Linked DNA regions of Oryzias latipes. The protein of the gene in region 1 purifies or fractionates together with the protein of each later gene. This does not show direct contact. Links are inferred from orthologs where the notes say so. Each region holds a gene or a part of one and is shown in the gene's direction. Other genes may lie near its edges.

What was found. The genes of interacting proteins can lie anywhere in the genome.
Region 2: the proteins of tmem9b (region 1) and clcn3 purify together in Homo sapiens (co-immunoprecipitation; 3 studies listed by BioGRID and IntAct, counting the BioPlex papers as one, with this or other methods). This does not show direct contact. The link is inferred for Oryzias latipes from reciprocal best matches to the Homo sapiens genes TMEM9B and CLCN3.

Annotation. Positions count from the first base shown.
Region 1 is NC_019861.2:19,775,266-19,779,548, reverse strand, and holds the start of tmem9b (transmembrane protein 9B), read left to right. Parts: upstream 1-1,357; 5' UTR 1,358-1,508; coding exon 1,509-1,583; intron 1,584-2,608; coding exon 2,609-2,700; intron 2,701-2,779; coding exon 2,780-2,888; intron 2,889-3,390; coding exon 3,391-3,525; intron 3,526-4,283. UniProt on the Homo sapiens protein: Enhances production of pro-inflammatory cytokines induced by TNF, IL1B, and TLR ligands. Has a role in TNF activation of both the NF-kappaB and MAPK pathways.
Region 2 is NC_019876.2:18,924,851-18,928,502, reverse strand, and holds part of clcn3 (H(+)/Cl(-) exchange transporter 3), read left to right. Parts: intron 1-123; coding exon 124-330; intron 331-413; coding exon 414-494; intron 495-591; coding exon 592-844; intron 845-2,182; coding exon 2,183-2,475; intron 2,476-2,556; coding exon 2,557-2,743; intron 2,744-2,851; coding exon 2,852-3,250; intron 3,251-3,337; coding exon 3,338-3,554; intron 3,555-3,652.

The DNA of each region.
Region 1 (4,283 bases):
AAAATTAAAAAAGCTATTGAAACGTCAGCGCAGGACTGAAGTACATACCTTAATTTCAGGAGTGCTGAATACATGCTGACAGAATGGGACTTTAATCTATTGCACCACAAGGAGAGACAAACTTGGTGGGCGAACAGACATATATTGAATGTCAATGGTACTGTACATAGATTGTATATCTAGTTTTAACAGCCTTATTTTACTGGATTTGATGCATTTATGACAGAAGTACTGCAAAATGTAAGAAACTAATACAGCACAACTGTTTTCTTGGGAACACTAGCACTGAAAAGAGGTAGTCTCGCCACAAAAGCATTTATTTTGATGACTGTATTGTATATGATGTAAAAAAAGTGTTGAGAGTTTTAGCTACAGATGTTGATGACCCATGTGTTTGGTTTTCCAAGGTGTCTGGATAAACGTAATGGTTCTATAAACCCCTAAGCTTTTCCAGCTATTATCTGCTTTCACGTCAGTCAAAGATGCTTCTGTAGACACCCTGAGATACTAAAGCATGTCATGTCTGTTTCTATGAAAAGTCCTGTAAAATGCTGCTGAGCTACTGACCCATCTTAGATGCGATGTGTATGTATATTTTATGGTTTTGTACATCTAATAAAATTGTAAATAAAGATAGGACTCATATTCATCATTTCCTTAATTACCAGAAAAGAACCTTATTGTTTAGTGTGCACAAATTTCATTTGACATTAGAGTTTAGTATGCAACTGTTTGTCTATATTTGTCTGCTTAAGAAAAACACCAAATAAATCATTACTTGATTTAACTTGCAACACATTATTTAGCCAAAACAAGGTGCATTTTTTAAAGAAAATACAAATATAGGAAAGCTTATGCAGCACAAAAAATAGACCAAGTAACAAATTAAACATAAAAAACAAAATCAGTTAAGGTTAAGCTTTTTTTTATTTTAGACAATTATTAAAAACTTTGCTTCAAATGTGATGACTTTTTTTAAAAATAAATATGTAGTAAATCTGTGTTGTGTGCAAGATACTTTTTAAAGTTACTTCTTTAAAAATAAGCAGTACTTTGTAAAATTTTCACCAAAATAAATAAACCCTTTAAGTGGAAGACGGGTTTAGACGGCTGTCGTCAGTCATTTTAGATCTCCATCTCATTCTGTTGTATTTTTCGTACATGATCATGGCAGTTTAACAAACATGATTTATATAAAAACATAGAAACTAATAAGTACAAAGTAAAAATATTTTTAAAATCCCCTAAATATGTCATGTTTCAAATTCAAAAGACAAATTGTAAACCTCAATAGTTCTTGAAATAAAAAAAAATGTAATATTTCAAATGTCCGCGTCTTAATGTTTGCGGAAGTGAGCCTCTATTTCCGGAAATGACAAGTCAGCTGATGTAGAATCTGCTTATCCTCTACTTGGCTCTACGGCGGACGGCGTCGTTTCTTAGGGTGCATTCGTCTTTTCTCCTTTGTCCCGCAAAAAGAGTCCAGCAGGGTTTGAGTTACTGCGACGATGAAGCTGGTGTTAGCTGCCGAGGCTGCGTGTTTGGCGTGTTTGGTGCTGCTGAGCCAAGCAGCAGCAGCAAAGGTAAGGCTAATGCTAGGCTAATGCTAGCTGACAGCACACAAAACATGGGCGAGTAGCTTACTAAACAGGAATTACACGTCTTAAAATTCTGTCAGCGACAGACACCTTCCCCTTTTTGTTGCTCGCGTGCTTGGTCAGATAGATAGATAGATAGATAGATGGATAGATAGATAGATAGATAGATAGATAGATAGATAGATAGATAGATAGATAGATAGATAGATAGATAGATAGATAGATAGATAGAGATAAAAATGTTGTCATGATTAATTTCTGTTAAGACTTCCTTACTAAAATGTTAATAAATGTGCTATTTCTGATCAGTTGAACATTTTTTTCCTTCTCTACCGAGTTACAGAAAATCTACCTTTATTAAACACAGCAAACGCCAGAAAACAACTGTCCCCCCTTTTTCTTTCATAAAAGCAGACATTAAAGGGAATCTTTGCTATTTCAAAACTACATTTATATGTCAGAAGAATAATAATAAAAACATAAACAGGTACACCAAAGCGAAACAGAAATGCTGCCAACATCCATCAGAACTATTATTTTGGAAACTTTTTTTGTTGCTACTTTGGTGTTATGTACCTGGAAGCTGGATTCCTGTGTTTTTAGTCTCAAGTCTTTTGATTTCTTTTGGCAGCATGTTGTTTCATCATAGAAACTCATACTGTGTATGTAATTATTCCAGAACATCGTTGGTTTTAGCTAAGAAGATCTAAAGCCACCATGCAGTCTTAGGAAAACACTCATTTTTACATTAAAAATCTTTAAGATCCAAGATTTTTATTTTAGCAAGATTTTGAACTATTTCAATAAATAGTAATTACTTCAGTTGTATTATTTTATCCTGTTATTGCTTTGCAAATCTATTTTTTGGTAAACTACAAGTTATAAACTTAATTTTTTGATATTCTTAAAGCTGCTGTGATAACATCACACAAACATGTCAAAACAAATGTCTGAGTTCAATCGACTGCTGCATTTAAAACTTAAACACCTGCTTGACGTAACTTTTACAGAATTCCGAAGACGTTCGCTGTAAGTGTATCTGTCCACCTTACAGAGGCTATGAGGGACATATCTACAAACAAAATGTGTCTCTCAAAGACTGGTATGTAACCAAATGCCATTGTATGTTCCCCCCCCCCCCTTGCTGAATCTTTATCATATGGATGATTTTGTCTCTTAAGTAACTGCCTCCATGTGGTGGAACCGATGCCAGTGGACGGCAAAGATGTGGAGGCCTACTGTCTGCGCTGTGAATGTAAATATGAAGAGAGGAGCTCAGGGACTATAAAGGTGAAGTCAGATTATTGATTTATTTTTTATAAAGTGTCTCTCAGACTGTGTGTGTGCTGGTTTGTCTCTGTATGTACCCTAAAAATGTAGATCTTTTCTGCCTTTAACCCCATGTTTGCTGGGATGGACTCCAGCAACCCCTGTGACCCAATTTAGGACACAGAGGGTTCAGATTAAGGATGTATAAAGTTTTTGATTATTCTTTACATTGCAAACATTTCCTTTTTTTTAAAATACTAATTTGTAGATTTTTTAAAAGCTGGTATTCTCCCTTTTTATCTTGCATATAAACAACAGGGGTATTTTATTTTTTATATGTGACAGTTTCTGACTTTGCACTACTTTTGTATGAAAAGTATTTATATTTATAGTTAAATATAAATATATAAAGAAGTTTAATTTGATCAAATTCAAGGTTATGGAAAATACTTGCTCAACGTTAAATGTGAGGCATGCTATGATTTCTGAGTATGTTTTTTGTTCTCCCTTCTCATGTATTTAGTTTACCATCATCATGTACCTGTCCATTTTGGGCCTGCTACTGCTCTACATGGTGTACCTGACTCTGCTGGAGCCCATGTTGAAGAGGCGGCTGTTTGGACACTCGCAGCTTATCCAAAGTGACGATGATGCTGGGGTAAGTGTTCCTAGCAACATTCAGGAGTCTCAAGGGCAATATGTATAGTTGTTTAATTTTTTTTTTCTGTGAATTTTAGCAGGTTTGATACTTTGAATGGTCATAGTCACAAGACTTGATCAGTAAATGTTCTCCCTTTGCACCAACCATCACGTGGAAGTTTTTCATGCAGTACGAGTAAAATTTAACAAGCTCTTGTAAATCAGTGCCGTACTTTCCCACTCCTTGGGAGGCTCTGAGAAATAGAAATCTGTGCAATCATGCAAAGAAATGTAATTAGGTTGCCCTCTAACAAGTTTGGACTCCTTTGCATGCACTGTAATTTACCAAAATATGTTATTTTCATGCAGATTTTACAAAAAATTAAATGCGATATTCTAGCAACATTGGCTCAGATTGCGGCAGTAGTTCTGTAGAATTGTGGTGAAACTGGAAAGTGTGTCATCTATACATTTAGATACTGTGTTGCGTTCACTTAAGGACTGCCTCCAGCAATCTGGCCAAGCTTGGAGCATTTCCTGGACTCACATCCAGAACCTCTTACTACTGTGCTGCTGTGAATCACATCACATTATCTTTGGTTTAAAATGGAAAAGTTTTACATCGACGGGACTCAATTTTTTGCCTCAGGGATGGACTAGGCACCAATGAGTATTGGTTGACCAATAACGTGTGCGTTTTTAAAGTGCAGGAAGCAGATTTTTGTTCCTTTGTGCTCTGGACTCAGACAGCGTGACCATAAATGTATCTGTAACATT
Region 2 (3,652 bases), on another chromosome or scaffold:
TATTTACACACACTTTAGTTTATTGAGTCATAACTTCCTGAACGTGAAACTCAACCTTCTACTTGAGCTTTTATTTGACCTCTGTCCTGCTCCTCCTCACTGCCCACTCTCCTCTGTCCCCAGATCAAGACAATCCTGAGTGGGTTTATCATCCGGGGTTACCTGGGGAAGTGGACGCTGATGATCAAGACCATAACCCTGGTTCTGGCTGTAGCATCTGGCCTTAGCCTGGGTAAAGAGGGTCCTCTGGTCCATGTGGCCTGCTGCTGTGGGAACATCTTCTCCTACCTCTTCCCCAAATACAGCAAGAACGAGGCAAAGAAACGAGAGGTAACGTGTGTGTTGGTGTTTTCAATTCTCCCTCGTTTTACTGCTGCATGTTTTTTCATCATTAACGTGTTTCACTTTCTCAGGTCCTCTCTGCTGCATCAGCTGCTGGTGTGTCTGTTGCTTTTGGAGCACCAATTGGAGGTGTTCTCTTTAGTTTGGAGGAGGTGCAGCAGATTTGATTCTTTATTGTAAAAAAACCAAAAAACATTATGCTAACAACTGCATATTTAACAATCAAAAATGTTCCTGTCTTTTATCCAGGTGAGTTACTACTTTCCACTCAAAACTCTGTGGCGCTCCTTCTTTGCTGCCCTAGTGGCGGCCTTCGTCCTGCGCTCCATTAACCCGTTCGGAAACAGCCGCCTGGTGCTGTTCTATGTGGAGTACCACACACCATGGTACCTGTTTGAGCTCATTCCCTTCATTCTCCTGGGAGTTTTTGGGGGGCTCTGGGGAGCCTTTTTCATCCGAGCCAACATCGCCTGGTGCCGGCGGCGCAAGTCCACGCGCTTCGGTGAGAAGACAATCTGTCATTAATAGGGATGTCAGAATCCGATCACGTGAACGGAAATTGGGCCTGTTGATGTGGTTAATGACTCAATCGAAAATTGGATGTTATAACCCAATCAGGGATCAGACATTTAATTTATTCTTATGTCTGTCCTGAGGCCGGAGGGTCGAGGGTTCAAAACCATGGCTGAGTCATACCAAAGACTATAAACATGCCCAAATGTAATACTGCTTGACACTCACCATTAAGGGGTTGGATTTGGGGGTTAAACGACCAAATGTTTCCCAAGCACAGCTTTGTCTTCAGCTCACCGCTCCCCTAGGGCAGCGGTCCCCAACCCCCAGGCCACGGAACGGTACCGGTCCGTGGGTCATTTGGTACCAGGCCGCACAGAAAGAATAAATATCTTACATTCCGTTTTATTTATTTCAGAATCTGAAAGATGTTTTATGTTGAAAAATTGCCCGATTTTCTCCATCCGTCTATGTCACTCTTGAAGCAGGCCATGGGGCTCTTCTCGGTCACGTGATAGGTTACCGCTAAAATAAGCGAAAATGAGCAAAATGAGTAAAAAACAAACGTCTTTGGAAAGTTTCTGTGCCAAGGGGGAAAAGGTCCAGCCAGGAGACAGAAGAGGAGCATTTGACTTCCAAAAAAAGAAAGCTACATTTAATAGACAGTACTTCTTTTTAGCACCATGAGAGTGGGGAAGGGGAGAGGATGATGACACCTATGCGATGTACAATGTCATGCGTGTCAAAACAAAAGTTCAAAGTACGTTTTGTCACGTCTCTGTTCCTCCTTTGTCGTAGCGTTGCTGCATCTTAAAGACTGGTCCGTGAAAACTTTGTCTGACGTCATAGCAGTCCGTGGCGTTAAAAAGGTTGGGGACCATTGCCCTAAGGGGATGGGACAAGGATGGGACAAGAACAAATTTCACACGTGTGACAACTAATTGGATTTTAACTATAACTTCATAAAATTAAACAACCTTTGATTCTTTTGAATAGAAGTCATTTACTATGCAAAATCTTTAAGAATTTTCTTCCATAACCCTCTTCAAACTGAACATGCAAGAGGTGACAGTGGAGAGGAACGACTGAAACCTCAGAGGAAGTAGACAGAGGAAGACCAGCTATCTGCCTCAAAATGTTGTTACAAAAATCAATGAAAAGTCTTAACAGGCACAAAAAATGCAGAATTTTCTAATAGAGAGAGGAAATGTAGCAGTTCACAGTCGAGATCCCTTAGTGTGTGAGTTAAAGGAAATTACTTTGTCAAAATTTACTGAGATTTGCAAGTGTATCATTTGTCTGACTTGCTTTGGATTTTATTTTGAAGGGAAGTACCCAGTATTGGAGGTGATCCTGGTGGCGGCCATTACAGCAATAGTGGCTTTTCCGAACCCTTACACCCGTCAGAACACCAGTGAGCTGATCAAGGAGTTGTTCACCGATTGCGGCCCTCTGGAAACTTCTCAGCTCTGCAAGTACCGCAGCCAGATGAACGGCAGCAAAGCTTTCACCGACGATCCAAATCAGCCGGCGGAGCCCGGGGTCTACTCCGCCATGTGGCAGCTCTGCCTGGCACTCATTTTTAAAATCATTATGACCATCTTCACATTTGGGCTAAAGGTGATCCCAGGAGACAGAAGTATGATATAGTTTTACCCTGCATGACTCTCCCAAAGTCCAATCACCATCTGTCATCCTCAGGTACCATCAGGTTTGTTCATCCCCAGCATGGCCATCGGCGCCATCGCAGGCCGAATTGTTGGCATTGCCGTGGAGCAGCTGGCTTATTACCACCACGACTGGTTTCTGTTCAAAGAATGGTGTGAGGTGGGGGCGGACTGCATCACTCCAGGGCTTTACGCCATGGTGGGAGCCGCGGCCTGTTTGGGTAAGTCCAAAAATTACCAAGTAATGGTTTAACTGGAGAAAAAAGTTAGAAAATCGTTGAGAAATTTGACTCTCAATGTAAAAATGGAATGATTTTCTTTCCTGGTAGGTGGTGTGACACGTATGACCGTCTCTCTGGTTGTTATTGTGTTCGAGCTGACGGGTGGGTTGGAGTACATCGTCCCCCTCATGGCAGCCGTCATGACCAGCAAATGGGTGGGCGACGCGTTTGGCCGAGAAGGGATCTACGAGGCTCACATTCGCCTGAACGGATACCCGTTCCTGGATGCCAAAGAGGAGTTTACACACACCACGCTAGCCAGAGAGGTGATGAGACCGCGGCGCAACGACCCGCCTTTGGCAGTCCTGACTCAGGATGACCTGACGGTGGAAGAGCTGCAGAGTGTCATCAATGAAACCAGTTACAATGGTTTCCCAGTCATAGTGTCCAAGGAGTCGCAGAGGTTGGTGGGCTTTGCTCTGCGCAGGGACATCACCATTGCTATAGGTAGGGGAGGAGAAAAGCATACAAAACATACAAAATCCAAGATTTTTGAAAAAGTTACCTTTGTTTTCTTTTTATAAATCTTTATAGAAAACGCTCGTCGGAAACAGGAAGGCATTTTACTTAACTCCAGGGTGTACTTTACCCAGCATGCGCCTTCACTGCCTGCTGACAGCCCTCGGCCCCTCAAACTGCGCTCCATACTGGACATGAGCCCCTTCACGGTCACTGACCACACCCCCATGGAGATTGTGGTAGACATCTTCAGAAAGCTGGGGCTGCGCCAGTGCCTAGTCACACACAACGGGTAAGTTTATTGTTCTGAAGGGTAGGACGTGCTGAAGGATCCCTCACGCCCTCGTCTCACATTCTACCCGATGGGAGGCTCACAAACACATGTACACA